Kluyveromyces lactis: one gene and its partner. The protein of the gene in region 1 interacts with the protein of each later gene in a biochemical or structural test. Links are inferred from orthologs where the notes say so. Each region holds a gene or a part of one and is shown in the gene's direction. Other genes may lie near its edges. The genes, in order: PAN1 and KLLA0_E08405g.

Region 1 (12,728 bases):
ACTTTTTATGAGTAAGGTTCTAGTTTTCATCGTATGCAGATTCTTCCACTTCAGATGATTCTGAAATGAAAGTAATTTCGCACCACCCGAAACCTTTCGATTCCTGGTCTTTAATAGTTAATTCGAAGTCGTCGAAAAACTGGTAGATATACGGTTTGGTACCAGCGACACCAGAAACGATGTTCTTGACAAAAGTTGGAATCTCAGCCATGACGTCGACTCTTTCCACCAGGTTATCCAATTTACCCTTGACGATAGTGTTGAATGGATCAGCAGATTCAACGTCATCGTCTTTGATGTCGGCATTGATACCGTTAAAGGAGACAGAGATTTCCTTTGGTACAGGCCATCCGACAGAATCGACTTCAGGGTCGATATATTCAGCATCGTTATCTACTGTCACGGATAAAATGTTCTTGGTGTCACATACAATCCCGATATTTACCGTAGTGTTGGCGTATGATTTAGGCGTGGTGAATTCCATAAGCACGGCAGTGTAGTCCTCTGATTGGAAGTTTAAAAAGGTCCAAGATTTGGCAGCATGATGTGGTTTCATACCTTGCATAGCGAAAACGAACATGGAATAATGTTTCTTTTCTTCTGAAAACTGTAAATCGATCTTGACATTAGTTTCCTCATTCTTAGCAGCAATCTTACCAGATATGTGGTTTCTTGGCCAGAAAACATGTCTCATACTACCCCAAGGTTGAGTAACATCGTCACCGTAGTAAGTGGATGGATCTTCACCGACTTTGACACCGTCAACTGCTCTACGGATGGTGAAATCCACTTCGACGTTTTCGTCCACGGTAGACTTGAATTGCACTTCGGTACCTTCTTCGTTCATTACAATAGATAGATTGTCAGCGTAGAAATTAGTTCCCTCTATTCTGAAATTCTCTAACTTCACCGATGTCCAAATTTGATCATCTGTATTTTCCTTGTGGTAAATCCTGAAAGTAAACTGAGCAGTAGTATGCAATCCAATGATGTTGGAATGGATCACTTGAGCGAACCCAGTGTATCCAGTTTCCAGATCAGTAAAGTAAAAAGTTGATGTCTCAACGTTCGTGTAGTCTGGATTCCTCCACTCGAAATCCTTCGTACTAGTAACATGGAATGGCTGCTTACCCTTAACTCTTTCAGTACATGGATGAATGTACTCTTGGCCATATTCTGGCTCAGCAATCCCTGTGACGGCACTAATACCACCTTGAATCCACTTCAACATTTCGATAGTGAATAAATTTGTAGGCTTAACTTTCGATGCAAACTCGAGATTTCTTACAGTAAAGCTATGCTTGATACTGTGTGCGTAGATGTGCGATGTTCAAATGACAAAGAAATAACTCGCTATTTTCTATGACTTACAGCAATCTAATAAATCAAACAAACCGATGAGAAGGTTTGAGACTGAACTTACTCTGTAATTCACTTATTAGAATCAATGAAATAGAAAAGAAATAGAACGCAAACCCGTACAATAACTATAATCAATGACTACTGGACTGGTTCTGATGCGCTGATAACGACTGTTTTTGGTATTTGTCTCGCCCCCCTCGTTTACTGTTTGTTGTTTGTTGTTCTCTAAGTTTCGTTTCTTAAGTGAGATGAGTTTTGTTGATTTTTTTTCTTTTTCGTATGGGCGAAACGAGCTAGTCACGTGATCTGATGTTTTACGAGGAGCTTTGACCCTATTAGCACCAATAAAAAGCATTTGGGTTCCGTACCATCACTTGGTGGAATAGATCTCAGATGGGGGTCAGTAAACAATGCTGATGGGCCCTTGTAAGCACGGCATCAGTGCTTGGCAAATAATAGCAACTGTTACCCGGATAATACACGCATTTCCAAAATGTCAACAAACCAAAATCACCGAGAAACACGTAAGAAACTGATACATGATCCATCGATGAAGCAGGAAAAATACCCTATTAGCGCTCTATCTCTGGTCCATACCTAGTTTATACCTGCTTGAATCAATAGGACGAGCTGCGGTAGCCTTTTTACCAGTTTTTAATTGGATAAAATGCTGAATAAGCTTAATGCTAATAAGAAGAATAAGAAGAAAGATGGACAGAGCACCTTGAATATGTTCTTCAAAGTGAAGAATAAGCCCGCATTAGAATCATCTTCAAGTTTTAATTCACACTTCACTGAAAAAACTGTTTCTCCTCCAGTGAAAGCATTGAGAACACAGTCTGTGCTTTCGTCTTTGCATTCCCAAGGGTCGTTTGAAGAAGAATCAAATGATGATTTCTACAGTCTGCTACGAGAAAAGAAACCAGTGAAAAACTTTAAGCCATCATCTCAAACGTTCCTATCATCGTCACAGTTTCAATGTCAGTCCGGTAGTTCCTTTTCGTCCCAAACTTCAACAGTATCGGGTTACTTTTCTTCCACAACTGCAACTGCAACTGCAACTGCAACTGCAACTGAATCTAGTTGGCAAAAACCTAAGCTGGAAAGAACATTATCAGGAGTCAAGAGAACGTATTCTGATGTATCAGATGGTTCACAAAGTTCTTCATCTTCAAATGCGTTATCTCTTTCCTCAGTAAAGCGCGTAAAGCCGATTCCAAGACAATCCATCGTTTCTCATACCAGTTCCAAGAGCTCCAAATCTAGCAGCATTAACGGAAGAATTGAACTAACTGCAGAGCAGAGGAAAGTAATAGAATATGTGTGCAAAGATAGATTGAATGTGTTCTATACAGGTAGCGCAGGTACAGGTAAGTCCGTTATATTGAGAACCATGATCTCGACGCTTAATGCAAAATATGGGAAAGATGCTGTAGCGGTCACTGCTTCCACAGGTCTTGCGGCGGTTAATATTGGAGGTATTACAATTAACAAATTCTCTGGTGTAGGTATTGGCCAAGGTGATGCTAATAGACTTATCAATATGGTCAAAAGAAACAAGACTAGTCTTAACAGATGGAAGAGAACTAAAGTTTTGATTGTGGATGAAATTTCAATGATTGATGGCTACTTCCTTGATAAACTGGATGCAATTGGAAGAGGTTTATTGAATAGAACTAAACCTTTTGGTGGTATTCAGTTGGTCTTCACAGGTGATTTTTTCCAGCTTCCACCTGTTCCAGATAGAGATTCAAATAAGGCTGGTCCAATCTTTTGCTTTGAGAGTAACGTATGGAAATATGCTATCCACAAAACCATACTATTACAACAGGTGTTCAGGCAGACTGATAATGAATTGATTGATCTTTTGAACGGTATTAGAATGGGTAACACATCTGGCGACACCATTAAACTAATTAAAAAATTTGAAGCACCAGTGGAATACGACGATGGCATTGAACCAACCGAACTTTACCCAACGAGACGTGAAGTGGAACTGTCCAATAAACGTAGGTTAGAGAGGTTGCCAGGTTATGAAATCCTTTACAAGGCAGTAGATTTTATCCCTCCTAATATCAATTCTAATATTCTTAACAACGTTATGGCAGAAAAAGAAATCAAACTGAAGGAGGATGCCCAAGTAATGATGTTGAAAAACATCGATGATACCTTAGTCAATGGTTCCTTAGGAAGAGTCCTCTTTTTCTGTACTTCGGCATTGTTCTTGGAAGCATCCAAGATATTCCCTGATCTAAGCGATCCGGAAGTTGTACAAGATATGAGATGCGTTTGCAGAGCCATTGGTGTGCCACCATCTGGTAGATCTTCGGACTTACAACGGGATATCAATCTTAGACCAACAAACAGGCAAGAAGTTCTTAACTTCGTATTGGATAAAGCAAGTAAAATCGTAAATGGGCCCGGTATTCTATCGACAATCATGTTCCCTGTTGTGAAATTCATAGACAAACAAGACATCAGAGGATACCAAATTAAACTAGTTGAACCAGAAGAATTCTCTGTCGGAGAAACTGAGAAGGATTCTGCTGTCAGGAAACAATTACCTTTAATGCTATGTTGGGCAATTTCCATCCACAAATCCCAGGGTCAAACTATCGATAGACTAAAAGTAGACCTGAAACGGACCTTTGAATCAGGTCAAGTTTATGTGGCATTATCAAGAGCTGTCTCGAAGGATAGACTACAAATAACAAACTTTGATCCTCATAAAATTAAGGTTAATGAAAAGGTAAAGGACTTTTACCAAAACTTGCATAAACTAAAGACATGAATAGCTTAACAACCTCAAAAAAAAATTTAGAGTATGAATGAGCGCACATTATTTCATGTCATGGAGGAGATGTCCCAGTTGGGGCTGTCCTTAAAAGCTAAACTTAAATTATTCATCAAATCGCCGAACATTCATGGCATATACGCATAATGATAAATAAAGCATATATATATCAAAAAAGAAAAGGCATAAGGCAGTTATTTGTTGATATACTGTAACGATACACATTCGGGTCCTATTATATCGATGATAGGGGTCTGTGATGTTTTTTTTTATCTTTTGTTTATTCAATGTCAGTTAACAAGCCAAATAATCTAAAATATGTAATGAATAAACAAAGTAAATCAAATTGTCCGATGAGGCTGAGACTCTATCTGCACTCAAAACAAGAAAGAAATCCGAGAGACTATGCTTGTGGCCCTGAAGCGATGAAATTTCGTTGGAGAAGGATATTTAGCATCAAGGTGCTTGGGATTGTAACTACGTTGCTGTTTATATCTTTTCTATTACCAAGCGGAGCAGTACCAAATTCAACTGTTCCACATTTTGAAGGTAAAAGAGCACTAATTTACTCTCCATTTTATAGACTCGCAAGCTCGCTTAACCTCGGAAAATGGCTTTCGTTGGCTCTACATGCTACTAATAAGTATCATAAGATTGGTTTGGACTGGCCAACGCTACCCCTAGAGCAGAAATGCCGTTTTTATTTCGAATCAACATTGGAAATAAACCCAACATGGAATAATGATCATATTAAAGACTTCCATAACGACAATAATTTGGATGACCCCTTGGCAGAGCTTATGTTAGAACGGATAAGGATGTATGATTCTTGTTTCATCAGTGGAGGTTTATCCACATCCAAGGTGTTCAAGAGATCAGTCGTGAAGCCAAACGATCTTGAATCGAGATTATTCCCTTTCCTCTCAAAGAAGACACCATTCAGACATTTGTGGCCTAAAATGATACATGTCAATCCTTGGACGTTGATTCCTTCTTTTAGTAACCCATTGTTAGAAGGTAAAGACACCTGGAAAATGGATGATAATTATTCATTCTTCTATAATTGGAATAATTTTGCAGAGGGGAAGGGAATTGTACTGACATTGGGGCTGAGGCACGGTGACCAGTTCAAGAAGTTACTTCTCACTTTGGAGAATTTAAATAATACACTTCCAATACAAGTTATTCACAACGGATCTGAGCTTACTGAAGCCTTCATTTACGACATTCATTCATTCTTAAACGCAAAAAAATTATCACAGCAGGTTTATTTTGTCAATATTGAACCGTTAATCGATGCTTCATTCGTTGGTCAATACGTCCATTATTTCATAAATAAATGGATGGCATTATTGTTCAATACCTTTTCTGAATGTATTCTACTGGATGCGGACTCTGTGTCATTTGCCAGTCTTGAATCCTATTTTGATTTCAAAGGTTATCAGGACACTGGCATGCTGTTATTCAGAGACAGAAATATTATAGGCGAGAAAACTTTTATTTATTGTACAGATACATTAAAGAAGCTTTTCCCGTCTGTAGAAGAAACCCATTTCATGAGCCATAGATCTACTTTCCCCCTCGAACTTGTGGAGAATGATAATATCAATATCGATACTCTATCTATGGAAGAGCAGATATACTATAAGTTCTTCCATAACTTACAACTACATCACATAGATAGTGGATTAGTTGTAGTTGATCGAGTTAAAAAATTATCTAGTCTACTCATCTCAACTATGATGAATATCGATGGTAAGCTTCAAAGATGCGTTTACGGCGATAAAGAAATATTTTGGCTTGGCCAATTGCTCGCCGGAGAGAAATATTCTATATACCCAACTGAAGGTTCCATCATGGGTACCGTTAAAAACAAGCCTGATGATACTTTTGAAATATGTGGCACCCAAATGGCTCACGTCAGCACAGAAGGTACTTTACTATGGTCCAACGGTGGGTTGAAGAAGTGTAAGGTACAAGACTGTGCCGTGGCTGATTTCGACCACGACCCTGACTATTTCCAAGAGAAATACGGCAACCCTGTTGCCTTACAGCAAATGTATGATTCTTCATTATCTATCAGTGGTTATATCACGCCGAATGTTGGGCAATATCCCTGGGAAAAAATCAAGGAGTGTCATCAGTACACTTATTGTGCCACAGCAAAAGAAAACGTAGGAACCATAGTCAAATTCGATACCGATACTATTTCACGTTTACAATCTGTTTCGGATATCTGGAATTCAAACGTCAAACTTGATGATAACATGGAAATATAGTAGTGTCTTCATCTCCAACGCCATTAACTTGATCTTTTTTTTTCCTGTTCTTACCAACCCCCCTGGCCTTTTGATATTTTGATCATAGTGTAACTGTCATGGTGTAGTAGAGGTATTCATTAAAACACTTCCTCTGTCACCATCCTGTACTTACGTAGTTTAACTTAAACTTTTAAACAGATGTCTAAAGTGACATCAGCCGTATTATGTACCCTATACCCGCACAACTTGCTCCAGAATCATGCGAAGATAGCTCACGAAGTTTCCCCGAGGTGTAATCTGCTTTATAGACGCAGTATCACTCTCGGACTCGAGTGTTCTTGTAGTATCCGTCCACTGACACTGACGCTTCGATATTCTTCGTATTTTGTGATCATCGAATAGGAGACTTTGACGAAATTCTTGGTTGAAATGATTCCCCATTCAAAGGGTTTAAAGACAACTTTGATCTTGATTTAGGAGGTGCGAATCGCAGTATTGCTCAGCGAGTTCAAGGGTCAACCAACCATTTACTAATTGCTATGTACAACCAGTACCAGCAGCAGCCCCAGCAGCCGCAGCAATTTGGTGGGCAACAGCAATTCAATGCCCAACCTCAGTCAACTGGTTATGGGAATTTTTATCAACAACAGGTCCCTACTCAGGGCCAGCAGCAGCAATTCAGTGGATTTCAAACCTTTAGCAACGCTGGCGCTTTGAATCAACAGCCTACAGGTTTCAGTCAACAAACACAGGCGCAGCCACAACAGCCACAGCAACAACAACCACAATCACAACCACAACAAGGCATGCAACAACCATTCGGTAATCAGCAACAACAAATGCCACTGACCCAACAATTGACGGGATTCAATTCTATGATGCCGCAAACATCCTTTGGTCAGCCTCAACAACAAATGCCAATGAACACGTCTTTCAATCAAGGGATGAGCACTACTGCTGTCAATGCACCAACAGGTCCGTTACAGCCTCAACAGACTGGCTTCTATTCTCAGCAGCAGCCTTTGGAACCTTTGAAGCCAACCGCCACCGGTTTCATCAATTCCTTCGCGAATACTGGTGTTGACAACACTTTGAAGATTCCTGCCATTAGATTGTCTTTCATTACCACTCAGGATCAGGCCAAATTTGAGAAGTTGTTTAGATCGGTTGTCACTCCTGGTTCCAACACTATAACTGGTGACCAGTGCAGAAATATCTTGGTCAAATCTGGCTTACAGCCTCATCAATTGGCCAAAATTTGGACTCTCTCAGATACTAATAAGGCTGGTGTGCTTCTCTTCCCAGAATTTGCATTGGCAATGTATCTAGTCAATTCTGTATTGCAAGGTGATTCCATTCCTTATGAGTTGGATTCGAGAACCAAGGCGGAGGTTTCCAGTTTTGTTGATGCTATTAACTTCAGTGTTTCGAATGATTCGGAAGTCGAACAAAAACCTAAGACACCGTTCGATGACTTGACTGCTGGAATATCAATGATGCAACCCCAGCCTACTGGCTATATGCCACAGCTATCGTTCGGAAGTCAGCCTCAGCAGATGCAGCAACAACAACAACAACAACAACAACAACCGCAGCAACAAAGTTTCCAGGGTTTGACTCAGCAACCAACTGGTGGGTATGGAGCAGCACCTCAGACTTCTTTTGGTAACACTTCCCAAGCTTTACAACCACAATCCACGGGTTTCATGCCTCAAAATTCCTTCAATCAACCGTTGAACGCTCAAACCACTGGTGGATTTAGCTCTGTTTTGAACATACCACCACCAGGGTCAATGCCGCAAACATCTTTCACACAGCAAGCTCCAATGCAGACAAGTTTGGCTACTGGAGGTGGATTTTTGCAACCACAAGCTACTGGATACTTACCTCCATCCAATTTTCAAGCAACTGCGCCACTTCAAGCTCAGAAGACAGGATTTGGTAACAACGATCTTTACACTTCAGCTAATCTTGCTTCTAAGTTCATTGCAAGAAAGGAAGAGGCCATCACTCCAGAAGAAAAATCATTGTTTTACAAGATTTTTGAGACTTATGATGTTGAGAAAACAGGGAACCTTGACTCTGCAACTGCTGTTGAAATTTTCCGTAAATCTGGTTTGAACAGGTCAGACCTAGAACATATCTGGAATCTATGTGATACAAACAATAGTGGTAACTTGAACAAACAAGAATTCGCACTTGGTATGCATCTAGTTTATCGCAGGTTGAACGGTGAGGTTCTACCAAATACGTTGCCTCCAAGTCTAATTCCATCCTCGACAAAGATTTTAAACACAGTCAAAGATCAATTGAAACAAGGTGTTGATAAAAATAATAGACAGCCAACTAAGGAAGATGGTTTGAGATTTAGAAACAACGATGACGAATTACTGCCAAGTTCGAGAAATCGTAGAAAGACAATCGATCAGTCTAAGAAGGTTAATGAGAATAAGGAGAAGATTGAAAACTTAAAGAACTTAATTAGGGAAAAGAAGGAATTGCTTGCCTCGGAAAAATTAAGATTGGAAAATGACTCGCAAAGAAAGCAGTCTGAAAATGCTGATCTATTACGGTCAATTGAAAATTTGAAATCTCAAATTCAAGCGTTGCCCTCAACCTCAAAAAAATCACCTTCTGCAAACAATGCTGTGCCACATGATTTACAATCCAGATTTGATACTTTGACAGCCAGAATTCCAAACCTTTTTAAAGAAATTTCTGATGTGAGCAAAGAATTGGTTTCAAGTCAGTTGGCATTGCACCACTTGAAGGTAGATCATCCAATCCGTGGTAGTGGCCCAAACTGTAAAATCACTGAGTTAGACTGTAAGAATGCAAGGCAAAGACTGACCCTGACTGCAGGAATGTGTACTTTAGTCGGTAGACCTGAACCAAATTACGATAATTTGGAGGCACAAGCACAACATTTCAACGAAGGAATTGAAACTATCGAAAAAGATGATCAAAAGAACCAATCTGCCATCAATAACATCAGTACCTGGATTCAAGAGATCTCTTCTTCGGTGCAAGCTATAATTCACGGAAGAACTCCTTCAATGGGCCTCGAAATGGATAAATGGGAATCTGGTATCGGTCTAGAACCAGAAGTCAGAGACTTTATCATATCTTGGAAAAACAGAAGAAACTTCGATAATTCTTCTTACAATACCGCAGGATACTCCAACGGTATTCAAATCTCTTCTTCAGCAACCTATAGAAACAACGCTCGTGCGCCTGAAGAAAAAGACTCGTACTCAAGTTTCCAAACACCTGAAGAAAGATCTGCATATGTCAAAGAACAAGCTAAAAAGAAGATGGAAGAAAAATTGGCAGCATTAGGAATCAAAAAGAAATCAGGGAGTTCACAATCATCACCTAATCCTCCACAATTGACTCAGCAACAACAGCCTCAACAGCAGCAGCAGCAGCAGCAGCAGCAGCAGCAACAGCAGCAACAGCAACCTAACTATTACCAACAACCCAGTCAACCTGCTGCTGCGGTAAACAACTCCAATCTACCAAAAGCTAACGACGATGATGATGAAGATGAGGAGGACGAGGAGGAGAGAAGATTGTTAGAACAATTAGAAAAACTGAAACTGAAGAAAAAACAAGAAAAAGAAGCTAGATTAGCAGCCAAGCGTCAAACCAGCTCATCACCAGCAGAAACTAAGAATGATAACGGTCATGACTCCTGGGATGATGAACCTACACCAACAAACCCTACTGGAAACCAATCACAAGCCGGATCACATCACCAATATAATCCATTTGGCAAGAGTGAAGCAACACAGCAAAAACCCGCCTCTGGTGCTGGTACCCCACAATTGAATAACACTCCAACTGGTGGCAGAAATCCATTTTTCAAGCAAGCTCCTTCACAATCATCTTCGTTTGATCTGAAGGCAGCTGAACAGCAGAGAAGGGTTCAACGAGGCTTGGATGACAGTGACGGATGGTCAGATGATGACGAAACAGAGAAGGTAAATACTACAGCCAACAAAGCTGTTGATGTCAGTAGTACCGCTGTTCCTGCTACATCTACCGCGTCCGTTCCTGTGGCACCATCTCTCCCACAGATTTCTGCAACCACTCAAGAACAATCGTCTGTCGCTGTTCCTATTGCACCACCTTTGCCTTTAGTTAAAAGCGAATCATCCCTGATCCCACCTCCACCTCCATTGCCTACGTCGATTACTGAAGGGTCTGGTGCCCCACCAGTACCTATCGCCCCACCATTGCCTCAAATAAACAGTGACGTAGCACCTGCTGTTCCTGTGGCAGCTCCTTTACTAAAAGTAGGAGGAACTGCAACTTTAGCAGAGAACGAAGAACCAAAGCCGGATGATGCATCCGACGTACTATCTATCCCAGAGTCGGTGGCCTCTGATGAGGAAGATAAGTTCCATACACCAGGTGCTGAAGATGTATCTGTCGCACCTACTGGCGCAATCCCTCCCGCTCCTCCCGCTCCTCCAGTGCCGGTCATCCCTCCACCACCACCGATGCCATAAGTTATATGCTCTCGCGTCCGTAAATTCATGTATCTAAATTATTGAAAAGTAGTTACAGGATATGTACATAAATATCATTTGAAACTAAAAGTCTACGTTGTCATAAAAGAACTGCTCCGTACTTGTTCCTTTAGGAATGTGAATTTCATTTCTTCAGAAACGCAGCCATTGGATCAGCAAACTCATCCAACGGGTCAGCCACCGATTCTTGCTTCATGGGTTCACTCGGTACGTCTCCTGTTTTTGCGAAATCCTTCTCCAACTCTTGTCTTACAGCTTCCTCGTACTCAGCTTCATCGGATCTTGGCCTATAAAAAGCATGATCTACTCGTATCAGTCTTCCACAAACCTTGGCTCCATTTAGGTTATCCACCGCAAGTATAGTCGATCTTTGATCTTCATACTTGAGAAACCCGAACCCTTTAGATTTTCCAGTTGTCTGGTCGCGTACAAGTTTGATGTCCACAGGACAGCCGTACTGGGAGAATATGGTGAGAATATCAGCTTCTGTCAATTCGAGGTGCATCCCTCCAAAGTTTATGTAGGCCTGATCTTTATACTCATGATGCCATGAGCTTTCTGGCTTTAGAATCCCACATTCCAACTCCCTTTCACTAAGTTTCTGTATCGACCTTATCTGATTCATAATTGATAATCGTATTGGATCTTCACTTCCAAATATTCACAGTTGAACCAGCCTCCCAATGACCGCAAAGTACCAGCTCTATTGGTTATTCCTTATCCTTTCTATCAGAAAATTGCAGCTCCTTTTCGGTAACCGTCAAATTCTTCTCCGGTTCCTCCATTCGTGCGTAACACCTTCAATTGTCTTCTTGTTCTTATATAAACGAACTTTCAAGAAACTTATTCAAATCTTTAACACCTTTAAATTATCAACACTTTTCCATCGCTCGAAAGAAGTTAAATCCAGAGTTTATGCACTACCGGGATCGCTGCTGAATTATAATTCCCACACGCAGAATGTCAGAGTATCTTGCAAGGTTGAGACATTTCACTACTTGTGACATCTCAGATGGGCTATTGAATTTGTATGGAATCACTAATGGTGGATATTTCCCTAATTTGGTGAGAAGGTCAGGGTCTGGGACTATCGTGGGTAGGGCTTTTCCTGTGTTGTTCGGGCATAAAAATGCTACCCAAGATAAACCCAGTGTCAATTACATCGATAATGTGCCAGCAGAATCTATCGTAACCATCGGTATGACTGAAGATTTACAATTGAGCAGTGCTCCATATACCAAACCTATTCAGGGCATGTACGGTGGATTAATGTCTACAAGAGCAAAATATTTAGGCAGCCATGGTACGGTTGTATTTGGTAGAATCAGAGATATCGAAGAGCATAAGGCATTGGATCACAGCGTTTTCAGTTACGGTATCGGTACCTGTGCTCCAAAAGCAGTTTTGAAACCGATTTCGTATAACTGTGAGTTGAAGATTAAGATTAGCGATGGCACTACGGAGACAATTAATCCCGGCGATTATTTGGTATGTGATGATCATGGAATGGTTCGTATTCCAACTGCCGCCGTCGACTTAGATAAGTTGATCACATATATAGAAAAGTCTATCGAAGCCGATGACCTTGTTTCTCAAGACATAAAGGAGGGAAAACCTGCTGCTCAGTCTCAATCAGAACGTAGAGCAATTCTTAAACAATATTTGTAATTTACAGCCCTCCCCCGTTGATCGTCAGGAGTTGCAATATTCGGTTGCGTAGTCGAAAGTTTATCGCTATGTTAAATTAATATTATTGTCAATTAAGTAGCAAGCTAT
Region 2 (12,639 bases), on another chromosome or scaffold:
AACATGTTAGAGTCTGCACAACTCCATGAATATGAATTCAGGTTGAAAGAGTCCTTTCTTAAGACAGATCAAATATTTTAGAGATACATACTTAATATTATACTAAGTTTGAGCTTCAATAGCTGCTTCCTCAGCTCTCTTCTTTTTGAGGTCATCGATAGATCCAAGAACGATTTCCGATTTTCTGTATCCTTTGAGTTGATCGTACCTACCTCCATGTTTACCTTTTTGTGATCTTTCATGCTCTTTAACAGTTTGTTGCTTGATGTCTTGCTCTCTAGCATTTTGACGTTCTACTTCAATTTGCTTTAGATGCTCTTCATGTTCCACTTGTAGTTGATCTAAGCGCTTGTTGAACTCAGTAACCGTGCCGATATTTTTTCTTGTTTCTTTGCAATACTGTTCAAAGTTTGGCGGAAGCTTAGATCTCAATGCAAGTTCTATCATGACAGGATGCTTTTTTTCTTCGTTCACAAATTTTGATTTGATTTGCCGCCTTGACCTATAAGGAAACAGTTGAGATATTAGATTGAAATCTGTCCCCCACATTGATAACGCCTGATAAAACTTGATCATTTCTTCAATAGTCCATGGATCTGTAAACTGCTGACGACCGTACGTAGCAGAATTGTATAAATTTTCGAATGGATTGTTCTGAATTTTTTCTTTAGATGAATTTTCAAGAGACGCGTTCTTATGTCTGTCGACAACCATAGATTCCTCATCAACAACCATAGATCCATCTGCGGCCATCTTCAATTGAATACCTTGATGGGGTTTCTCATCTGGCACTTCCGTATCAAAAAGATCCTGGGCGGCTTTCTTTCTTTCCTCTTTCAATTGTTTTTCTTCTTCCGTTACTAGTTCATTCAAGGACTTGAACTCTTTTCTAGCCATTTCTCGTAGTTCCCTGCGTTTTCTTCTCCTTTCAATCTTTAGCTTGGCAGCTTCCTTAGCCCTGCTAAAATTCTCAGATATTTCACCTATGGGAAGCGTTGGTTTACATAGGTCCGCCATAGTAAAGTTTTCTTCGTCTATCAAGTATTTGGATGAATCTTTGTCCGCTATTTTCTTTGGAATCATCTTCAAATTGGTAATGGTGTATTTCTGATAAAGATCATCAGTTCTTTGGAAGATATCGTCGCAGTTTTCAGAGTCACCAGCTGGTTTTGCAGTTAATGAATCGTCGTCTGGACTACTCATCCGTGATACTATACTAATCCTTTGAACTTTACCCGGTCCTTTTCCGGTTGAGGATCTTGATGACATTCGTCTCCGCTTAATTGCTTGCAGTGAAGAATCATTCTCCGAATTAACTGTTAAACTCTTCTTTCTCAGTGACCCTGTGGATATACTGGAGAGCCTTCTGCTTCTTTCTGGTACATTTCCCGTATTCAAGGAACCAGGCCCCATGAAACCAGACTTGAAAGTAGGTTTAGTTCCAGAGAGCGAGTCTAGTCTACTAGACCTACGGCGGTTGGTAGCACTTGATACTGTGACAACCGGTATCTGAGTGCTGGTTCTTGATGGGTTCAAATTCTTGACTAAAGTTGTTTGACTTAGTGGATCGTCCTCGTCAACAGTTTCGTTAATTTTGGATTCTTCATCACTTCTTTTTGGCTCCGTATTATCTGTACTAGACTCATTCAGTCCGTCCTCGTTATCGGCTTCATTTTCATGGGAATCTTCAGCAGTAGACTTGGTTATGTCATCGGACACTGGTGGTACCACAGTTGGAGCCGGTGTGGAGTTCAGTATCCGTCTTTCTCTTAATTTAGGAACAAAGCGCTTGGCGCTTTTATTCACAACACTACTCATGGTTGTCAGCTGGGTAGTGTAGCTTCAAAGATTCTTTGTTGTATGTTAGCTACTACCTAATGAATAGTGCATTCATCAAAATATATAGCACTGTCGCCATATTAATGTTTACTATCATATTTATTACAAAATTCCATATTTTCGTCAATCAAACAAGGCACAGTGACATATATCCGGGTAATAAGTGTATATTTTAAATATGCGAAGGCATTAAATAGACTGTTCATGTAAAAGAAGATAATAGCATACACAATATTAATAAGGTTTATAACGGTGTTCTTTCTCCTTCTTGGATTTAGACTTGGATTTTTTATCACTCTTCCTATCTTTTTTCCCATGTTTATTCTTCTTGCTGTGCTTCTTCTCCTTCTTATCTTTCTTTTCTTTATGTTCATCATCACTACCAGTAGAAGTAGAATCCTGTTCAGATGTTGAGGATGATTCGTGCTGCATTGTTTCTTGTCCCATATCCATTTCAATTTCTCTGACAGAGTTTTCAAATGCTGTGAATGGTAGTGTATAATCCCAAAAGTTGTGTGGAACGTTTAAAGAGTTCGTAGTGTCCTTCCATACATTAACGTAACCATCTTCACCACAAGAGTATAGGAGGGAAGTTTGATTTTTTGGAATAAGCACATCTCTTATCACTTCATTTCCGTGTGCATCAGGTATTACCAGGGCACTAGAAACATCAACTTGTTCATTTTGGAATGGTATTATCTTGAGTTCACCTTGACTTTCATGAGTTTTTCCAGTTGCAATGAAAGATGGGTATATATCAATAACATAGTCACAACCCCACTTATCTCTTACGTCTCCAAATTCTAGTGGTTTAGGCTCTATCATTTCATCTGATTTATCGTTCAATTCGTGAATACCAAAAGTTTCCATATGCGACAAACTCCAAATCCTTTTCGGGCCAAGCCATCCACAAGAATGGATGGAAGCAAAGTTGATAACTTGATGTAGTGCATCCTCCTCATCGTCTTGAGTCAAATCATAGATGTTGACGTAACCATCAGTAGACCCACTCATCAGCAAGTTTGAGTCGCATGGATGGAATTTTATATCTGTAATGTCATCATGATGCGAGTCCACAAATGACCGCACAGGTTTAGTCCAGTTTCTTATATCATAAATATGCAATTCAGCATCGTAATCCTTTAGTTCTGTGCCACATGCTAACATATTGTGCCTTGAATCTAATGAGAAGAAGGGAGATGCTTTATCGTTTTGAAGAGACGCAACATTGTTTCGGGCTCTAATATCCCAAACTTTAACACCGTCCTCTGCTGCAGTAGCGAACACAGCACCAGTATCAAAATCGGAGTTTATAACTTTCATATCGTTGATGGAGGTTGTATGGCATTGAATACTGGATATGGTTTTCAAGTTGCCCCAATCCAATAAATGCACTGAGCCGTCACTTATCGATGTCATCAATCCATGTTGATATAGAGGTTGCAATTTCAAGCACCAGTTGTTTTCTTCAAAGTAGCGACATTTGTATTTGTTGAAGGACATTGTGGGACTTCGCACCGTGACTGGTTATAGTGCAGTAGACTTTAACAAACTAGTTTACTCGATGGGATGAGATGAATCTTTTCTACCTCTAATCAAAAATAATAGCTTTAACTACTGAAAAAGAAAGATTCATGTTCGAAGGTGGAAGGAAATGGTAAAAAGAATGGTTCCTAGCGGGATCGAACCGCTGATCCCCGCGTTATTAGCACGGTGCCTTAACCAACTGGGCCAAGGAACCAGATCTTATGGTTTTTCGTATATTTTTCCAAACTCATGGCGCATGGTGGCGAGACCGCTCAGGAACAATAATCGAGTAGCTACCAATCTAATTGACGGATAAGTAGCAATATGTTACATAGACATGCAGCTAATAACAAATATCGATTCATCTGATTCTGAAGATCCAGATCTGGTGGCACGTGACTGAAATGGTTAGATAAAAAACATCAACATCTTGACATCTCACAGGCTGAAGAGAACCATATATTCCATCACTTTTTTTTAAGCCACATTATTCCAAATTAATGTTTATTAGCATAGGAGGCCTTAGCAAAACCACAAGGCCACCGCTGTAACTATTCCCTGCTGAGAAACTTTTCTCCACAAAAAATAAGGGCACAAGTAAGCACCAGGGTCCAAGACTTGCCTTCACCTATTGTTCCTTTTTCCTTGCAGTTGTTATCACTCTTTTTAGGGACCCGCCCCTATTAACATTTTCCAATGTTGACAAAAAAATCAGGCTTGAACATTGAAAATGGAAGTCAGTTTTTTTTTCATATAAAAAATTATAGATTTGGTAAATTAAGTGCTATTCAATGAGGTTTACAGCGTTGAGCAGGGCAACAAGAAGCATAGTAGTTCCACCAAGCTACGGGGTTTTATCCTTACATTTATTTTTTTTGCATTTCATAGTTCATCCAAGTGGTGCACTTTTATCAATTGTGAGTTTTGCATTATTTTTTTTTACTTCATTCTGCCTGGACAAATTTCCATCAATTTGCTTATATACTTTTGTGCTATAGGTCACAGTACAAGAGAGCACGTAGGAAAGACGGCATTTGCAAAAGTTTTCTCGAAGGTTAACCCATTTGTGTTGGCGTTATACGCTTACTGTATTTTAACTGCTGGCTTTTCTCTTTTTCTTTGCATTCTGAATTCACATCTATATGGATCTTTAAAATGAATCAGCCGCAAATTGAGAAATACGCATCGGGTACCATATTGCCTGTTGGATCGCATCAGGTGAAGGTTTTGAAATATCTCGCGAGCGGTGGGTTCGCGCATGTATATTCCGTTGAAATTAGCCCGCCAGATCCGGTATGCCCAGATAATGTAGCATGTTTAAAGAGAGTTGTTGTTCCTGACAAAGCAAGTCTTAACACATTGAGGGCGGAAGTGGATTCAATGAAGGCTCTTAGAGGCAACAAATTCATTGTTTCGTATATCGATTCACATGCCACTAAGTCTCCGGTTAACGTAGGAATGTATGAAGTGTACTTGCTTATGGAATACTGTTCTGGCGGTGGGCTTATCGATTTCATGAATACCAGATTGCAGAATAGACTTCAAGAGTTTGAGATTCTCAATATCATGAGTCAAGTGAGTCAAGGTGTTGCTGCTATGCATGCTCTGCAACCACCATTGATCCATAGAGATATTAAGATTGAGAATGTCTTGCTCTCGAAAAATCATGAATTTAAGCTTTGTGATTTCGGATCAGTGTCTGGTGTCATTCGAGCGCCAAGAAATACAGAGGAGTTTAACTATGTCCAGTACGATATAATGAAAAATACAACGGCGCAGTACAGATGTCCAGAAATGATCGACTTATACCGTGGTTTACCGATAGACGAGAAGTCTGATATTTGGGCATTGGGTGTCTTCCTGTACAAAACATGCTATTATACTACGCCGTTCGAGAAAAATGGGGAATCTGCCATCTTAGCATCTAAATTCGAGTTCCCAGCCTATCCACGTTATTCTGATAGAGTGAAAAATTTGATAAGTGTCATGTTACGTGTAGATCCTCTGAAACGTCCGAATATTTGTCAAGTGGTAGAAGAGGTTTCACGTATTCAAGGCATTCCATGTCCAATCAAAAACTTTTATCTGTTAAGAATGATGGATAAACAGGAACAACCAAGGGTGTCGCCACCTCCTCATGTGCCACAGATGACTGTGCCGGCAACTGTGCCAACTTCTGTTTCAACTCAGCATCTGCCCCCCCAAGTTGTATCAAACGTACAGACTCCATCGAAAACTGCATCTATTCAGCACTTGCCTTATTTGCATGTGTCTAAGAGTCAACCTATGGTCACACAGCAGGATTTACTCTCACAAAAGCAACCTGCAGGAAAAACAGTTCCTCAGACGGTTTCAAACTACACAAGTTCAGATCCATTCTCCAAAATTGATAGATCTGCTCTTTTGTCTACTTCTGCTACAATGGAATCACTACCGAGGGCAATGAGAATACCACAACTAGAATATCAACAGCCTCATCTTCTGACAAGATCGCAATCAGTAGTGCCTAGAGCCTCTGTGAGTCCAGTAAGAAATGGTAGAGGTGCCATTTCAAGTATCTTGGCATCAAACAGAACATCCTTAGATAGACCAAAGTATGTGGACTCTGAAACTCAAACCAGCGATCATCCATCAGAACTGGGTCTTTCACGATCTCTGTCTAGAAAATCAGTCGCATCATCTCTGTCTTCTGCGGAATCCTTGGAAGCTACCTCAACTGGCGGTAGCTTGACTCGTAAAATAGGTTCTAAGATGAAAAAAGTTATCACCGGAGAGAAGAGGGGCTTTTCAACCATTAGAAGTGCACAAAATACCGGTGAAAGCGTAAAATCCGCATTTAACGCATTAAGAAAGGGAATTTCCTCAATGCAGTTCACTGGTGATAGCAGTTCCAGAAAATCATCTTTAGAAGCAAGAAAGTATAGAAGTACTTCAGGCAAATCCATTCCTGAAAATACTTCTTCTAACACCAAATCCCATAGGCGGTCCACCAGCTCGTTTTCCTTCGTTCCGGAAAATAATGACTATGAATTGATCGAAGATATACAAAAGGAGAAACCAAAATCATCACTGAGAAGATCCTCTTCCTTGAAAACTTCATCTTCGATCCAGAAGCGCGTTAAAGATCTAATCAATGCAGATGATATACCCAATCGCTCTTCTGCCACTGGATACGGGAAATATACTGATATTGGGAGGAAAACCGATATATCTGACCACCATAAATCCAATGCAAATCGTAAATCAAGTACAGTGATCACTCCTGTGCATGAGGCTCCTAAATCCAAACCAGCACCGCCACCCAAACCAGCTCATTTGAAGCCAAATCTTCCACCTAAGCCTAAACACCTAAAGGCAAAATCTTTCAGAACAAGCCCAGCAAAATCCGAAGTTAAAGAGCAGGATTCCGATCAAGATTCTGTGGGTAGCCCTTTCCAATCTCGAAAAGAAATGAAAGAGTTTGAAAGAAGATTTCCAAGTGCATTATAGAATACTTTTAAAATTACATATATCTTTATAATGATATTCTAATTATTCCGATTCACTCCATTCTTCGAAAGAATCCAATATGAAATCAGTTGCTTCTTCAAAACGTTCATCGAATATGTTTGTCATTCCGTCACAATCTGCCTTCAAAACTCTACCATACTTCTTTCTTAACTTCTTATTTTCGTTGGCCGTACTACCCCAACAAGAATGTGTGCTACTTGTGAATACCAAGGAATTCTTGAAATACCAATCTCCTAACGTTTCGTCAATTAATGGCACCATTACTTTAAGAGGTTTTTTGTCTAAAAATGATATTGCACATTTTACCACTGACCTGGTATCCCTATGGCCTAATAAATGGACAATGCCTCCGTAGGCATCTCCAATGCCGATAAATGCCACCTTTTGTAGATTTTGGAAGAATTTCAAGTAGTTATCCCATAAATATATCAGAATCTCTTGTGATGACGCAACACCTGGGTAGTTGGCATGTTCAAAGAGTGTTTGAGGTATATTTATGTCAATTATTCCATATCTTCTATCCATTGCCCAATTGATCATCTTCAAAGCATTGTCGACGATAATTGAACTAGAAGGATCAATAATTCCTGTCTGTGTGTCACGTTCAGACCAAATCTCTGGTGTGTCATGCACGATCACCACAAGTGTTTCAGAGTCTTGGATACCTGAGGTGCATAGCATAGTATTTGCTGGTAAATTCAAATCAAGAATTGGAAGTTGAACAAAGTTGAATTGTGATGAGAGCTGTGAAACTTGGTATTCTCTAATAGCATTTTGTAAAGGGAAATTCCTTGTGTCCAATGTTGAAGTTATAGCATCCTTGAAATTGATCCCGTCATTTCCATGTCTGTTCTTAAAGCAAGACCAATACTTTGACTGCGTTCTGATGACTGTTTCGATCATTTTTTTTGCCTCTGGAGTTGGTTGCTTTTTAGGAGCAGGCAATTCATCTGGTGGTTCTCCGACCAACACCTTACAAACACCAAGCGCCGACTTAGCTATAGAATCCAAATTGTACCCACCTTCTAAGACAACACACAAGTTTCCTTTAGCCAACGAAAGTAGCATATGGGTCATGTGACCGTAACAAGCAGGAGTAACATGGCATTGGCCGATAGTGTCACCATCGGCTGCATCAAAACCAGATGAAATAAGGACCAAATCCGGTTCAAACTCGCGACCCATTGGCATGATAACTTGTTCAAAAGCCCACATGTATTCAGCATCACCAACACCGCCTGTTGGCCACGTTATATTACAATTGAAACCTTCACCTTTCCCTTCGCCGGTTTGGTCATAGTTTCCATGGATAGTACCTGGGTAATACTTGCCTAATTGATACCTGTGAAGAGATACATATAAAACTCTATCATCGTCATAGAAGGCCTTTTGAGTTCCGTTACCATGATGGATATCCCAATCAACGATCATGATTTTACGAACACTTTCAGGATACGATTTGAGCATATTTGCAGCAGCGACGGCTACGTTACTGAACAAACAAAAACCACCAGCAATTTCAGGTTCAGCGTGATGACCAGGTGGCCTTACTACAGCTATTGAGTTTTTCACTCTTCCCTCGACGACAGCCTTACATGCTTCGATAGCACCACCGCATGAAAGTTTGGCACTAAGATACGAGTCATTATTGAAATACACGGAATCTCCACCCTCAGTCTCCTTGAGTAAACTTTCACGTTCGAGCTGTTCTGTCTGTGATATGAAATCCAAATGCTGTCTTGAATGGACTTGCAAAATTTCTTCCTCTTCAGCTTCACGTACGGGAACCTTCACCATTAGATCTCCGATCGAATCTGCACCACTCAAAGTTGGGTCCTGAATCAATCCATTCTCCGCTAGGATCTTGTAAACACGGTAGATACGGCGGGGGTCCTCTGGATGTGGATCGATGTATTCGAAGTAAGACGTGAAGATCTTAGCATGATAACGCATCCTCACATCATAACAGATCCCGGTTTTCAAAAGACTATATCTAATCTTTGGCTTCGTTGGTGGAACAATGACAGGCCGTTGAGATTCATCTTTACTGGGCAGAGTATATGCAGTACCCTCATTTTTAATTTCCTTGATGCTGGGCCTTTCCAGCGGCTCTTCAGCCGGTTTTTTACTTTCCATGTTCCGAATATATTATGGAAAGGTAACCACGATAATGTTGAATGACAGGCAATGGCAAAAGGGATACCGTAACTAGCTTTCAATGGGAAACGGTCTACTAGAAATGAATGATACAACCACAAATTACGTAACTCCAATGCACGCTTAATTCCCTAGAGCGCCTTTTTACCTTCTAATCGTGAGGAAAGGCTAAAAGTCCACTGAAAATGGCGGAAAAGCTGTGAGAGAACTCTCTTCGTTCGGATTATCTCTCGAAATTTTACTGGCCAAAAAAGTTGTTTTGTGTTCAGATACCGTCAGAATCGTTTGATTGACCTTGGTTATATGGACGTAGCTGTCTTGCACAGGATCTGGTACTCAGAAGATCCGTATGAAGATCAGCTGTTTCACATATGGTTCCATGAGCGCAGGAAATTGTTGATGTTTTAAAGTTCCAATATTTACAGAAAACCAAACTGAGGTGACAATAGAAAAGAAATTATTTTTCAACATCGGACTCTTCAAGTACTGAAAATTGAAAATGTATAATACGTATGAAGAAACATGTAACAAGAGCTCATCGCGATGAGGTATAGAATAGACGTAATATAGTTACGTGTTAGAACTGATTTTGCTGGATCTGTGGTACAAGCTATACAGCGCTATTTCATTGGATTTTCATTTTAACTTCATTGTGATTCGAGATGGAATTCTACCGTGATGCAACCTGGGTATTGGAATTCGTGGAACAGGAGCTCTCTAAAGACAAGAGAGTTGCAGGTTCGTTACAGACCTTGGTACTTACTAGTTGTAAAAGATATAAGCTGAAGACAAATCCTCGTCACATTTATGCCATTGTTAGTAGTACATGGCAGTATAGGGAATATCTAGATAAAATCATTAAGAAGAGCGGGATCTTGGAGGACGTACCGAAAAAGAAAGGGAAACCGCTGTTCAATAAGGATACCATAAGGCTCCTAGTACACGACCTTTTACTTTCAAAATCGAAGCGGATTCAGATGGGTAAGCATCCTATCAAAACTTTCATTTTGAAGCATCAGACTAGGTTAAAGGCTGAGTTGACAAAGCTCAAAGTTAAACTTAAAGTCACCAGTCTGTCGCAGTTAATCAAAACCGATGATGGAGAAGATGTTACACCGGTTCGTTGGATCAGAATTAACCCTATCCTTGTCAAGGAAAGATATGACGATGTTCTTGCTGAATTAAACAAGAAATTCCCACAAAGAGTGAACTCTTGGAAACAAATCGTTCCTGGGAGCATATATTACGATGAGTATATTCCAAACTTGTTTGGCATTCATCCAGGTGATAAGATCACTTCGCATGAGCAATATAAGAGGGGGAAAATTATCATTCAAGACAGGGCATCCTGTTTCCCCGCCCACATCCTCAATCCAAACAGTACTGACGTTGTTATCGATGCATGTGCGGCTCCCGGCAATAAAACCACACACGTTGCGGCACATATCTTTGGAGACGTTGACACCAAGGTCGATTCAGTCAAGATACATGCTTTTGAGAAGGATCCTGAGCGTGCAAAAACTTTACAGATGATGGTTGCCACCGCGGGTTGTGCTAAGGGGGTCAAGATACATGTTGGTGATTTCACAAAACTTGGTAAACCAGAACTTTTCCAGAATGTAACTGGATTCATCGTTGATCCAAGTTGTTCTGGCTCTGGTATATTTGGCCGTAAGGCAATTGATAAAGTAAACTTGAGCAAGACTGGGTCATCAAACACCGATGAAGATCAGACCTCGGTTGAACCTGTGGAGCAAGAAAAAGAATTGTTTGAAAAGGAACAAGATTTGAAGAATAGATTAGCCAAATTATCATCTTTCCAATACCAAATTGTGAAACACGCCATGTCTTTCCCATCTGCTAAGAAAATATGCTATAGTACTTGTTCTATTCATGCTGAAGAAAACGAAAGAGTTGTCATTGATTTGCTCTTAGACTCAAAGGTCAAGGAATGGGGTTGGAAAGTAAGAAAGAGAACCGGTGTAATTCCAACATGGCCTAGAAGAGGATGGACCAGTGAATTTGAAGAGGTGTTTCCGAAAGAGGAAGCAAAAGAGTTGGCAGAAGGGTGCATCAGGGCTTTACCGAAGGAAGATGGTGGCATTGGCTTTTTCGCCGTATGCTTTGAGCGAGATTAGTAAAAGTCCATTAGTTCTATATCCACTGTCCATGATAAAATAAATATCGAATCATAGCAAAGTTATTGGCGTAACAAACGTAGAAATATATTCATTATATATTAATTAATTAATCTAATTTAGATAGAACATCCTCCAACACTTGTTGGGTGGTGGAGTTACCACCAAGATCTGGTGTCAAGTATTTACCCTCTCTGATGTTGGCATCAACAGCTTTGTGGATATCCTTTGCCGGTTCTGGGTAACCCAAAAATTCCAACATCAATGCAGTGGATCTGATGGTGGCAATTGGATTAGAAATACCTTTACCAGCGATATCAGGGGCAGAGCCATGACATGGTTCACCAATAACGATGTTTGGACCAACATTGGCAGATGGAACAACACCCAAGGAGCCAACTAGGGCAGCAGCACCATCAGAAAGAATGTCACCGTACAAGTTTGGTGCAACAACAACGTCGAAACATTCTGGTTCTCTGAACATTCTGTAAACCATGGAATCGACGATTTGTTCATTATATTGGACACCTCCGTACTTGTCCTTGTTAGCTTCATAAGTTTCTCTGCATACCTCTCTGAAAAGACCATCAGATTGTGAAAGAACATTGGATTTGTGAGTAACTGTTAAAGTGGCATGACCGTTCTGTTCCAATCTCTGTTGAGCGATTTGTAGAGCGATAGTAGCAATGTTTTTGGTTGCTATTTCGGTAATTCTCTTGGTAGCATCTGCAACTCTGGTTCCGGTGGCTTCATCGATGTATGACTTTTCCAATTTAATGTATAAATCTTCAGTGTTTTCTCTAACGATGACTAGGTCAACTTTTCTGTCCTTAGTACCATCAACAGATTTAACAGGACGAACGTTAGCGAAAAGTCCCAAATTCTTTCTTAGGGCAACGATTGGAGAAGAGTAACCTTCAACCTTAGTCGTTGGTGATTGCACAGCACCAAATAAAGCACCTTCACATTGGTTCTTCAAGATATCAATGGTTTCGTCAGGGAGTGCCTTACCGGTGTTTTGGAAGGTTTCCCAACCAGCTTGCAAATCAATGAATTTAAACGATAGACCGTACTTTGGGTTCAATGATTCTAAGATCTTCTTACCAGCAGGAATAACTTCTTTACCAATACCATCACCTGGAATTAAACCAATTGTTAAATTCTTCGCATTGGAAGCGTAAGCACGACGGGACAATTGAATGAAACGTGTTCTCATCATATTGAATGGTTGTTATATAGCGAAATGAAACAATTCGCTGCTTGATCTTCGGGACAAGTAGTTCGATAACCTTAAAACAAAGTAAAATGTGATGGTTTTCACAGAATCAACTACAGCTGCAATCCAATCCAAATCGTAACACTGGGGTGTATTTATAGTTTACAGGTTATTCAGTTTCCTGTAACTCATATTTCTTTCAATGATCCCAATGACTGGTTGATGAAATTTCGAATTTCCACAGGAATTTAT

The links.
Region 2: of the proteins of PAN1 (region 1) and KLLA0_E08405g, one has a biochemical effect on the other in vitro, tested with the Saccharomyces cerevisiae proteins (4 studies listed by BioGRID). The link is inferred for Kluyveromyces lactis from reciprocal best matches to the Saccharomyces cerevisiae genes PAN1 and PRK1.

Annotation. Positions count from the first base shown.
Region 1 is NC_006040.1:1,146,415-1,159,142, forward strand, and holds PAN1 (actin cytoskeleton-regulatory complex protein PAN1), read left to right. Parts: upstream 1-6,956; coding exon 6,957-10,931; downstream 10,932-12,728. Other genes in the region: SVF1 (Svf1p), read right to left, coding at 20-1,231; RRM3 (DNA helicase), read left to right, coding at 2,030-4,153; KLLA0_D13376g (alpha-mannosyltransferase), read left to right, coding at 4,444-6,435; U2 snRNP complex subunit IST3, read right to left, coding at 11,077-11,577; KLLA0_D13442g (bifunctional 4-hydroxy-4-methyl-2-oxoglutarate aldolase/oxaloacetate decarboxylase), read left to right, coding at 11,913-12,620.
Region 2 is NC_006041.1:750,421-763,059, reverse strand, and holds KLLA0_E08405g (Ark/Prk/Nak family serine/threonine-protein kinase), read left to right. Parts: upstream 1-4,521; coding exon 4,522-6,855; downstream 6,856-12,639. Other genes in the region: transcription factor TFIIIB subunit BDP1, read right to left, coding at 103-1,818; KLLA0_E08449g (uncharacterized protein), read right to left, coding at 2,074-3,342; histone deacetylase HDA1, read right to left, coding at 6,898-9,012; rRNA (cytosine-C5-)-methyltransferase RCM1, read left to right, coding at 9,696-11,171; LYS12 (homoisocitrate dehydrogenase), read right to left, coding at 11,281-12,390. UniProt on the Saccharomyces cerevisiae protein: Protein kinase involved in the regulation of actin cytoskeleton organization and endocytosis. Phosphorylates PAN1 which disrupts the interaction between PAN1 and END3, and between PAN1 and SLA1. Phosphorylates SCD5.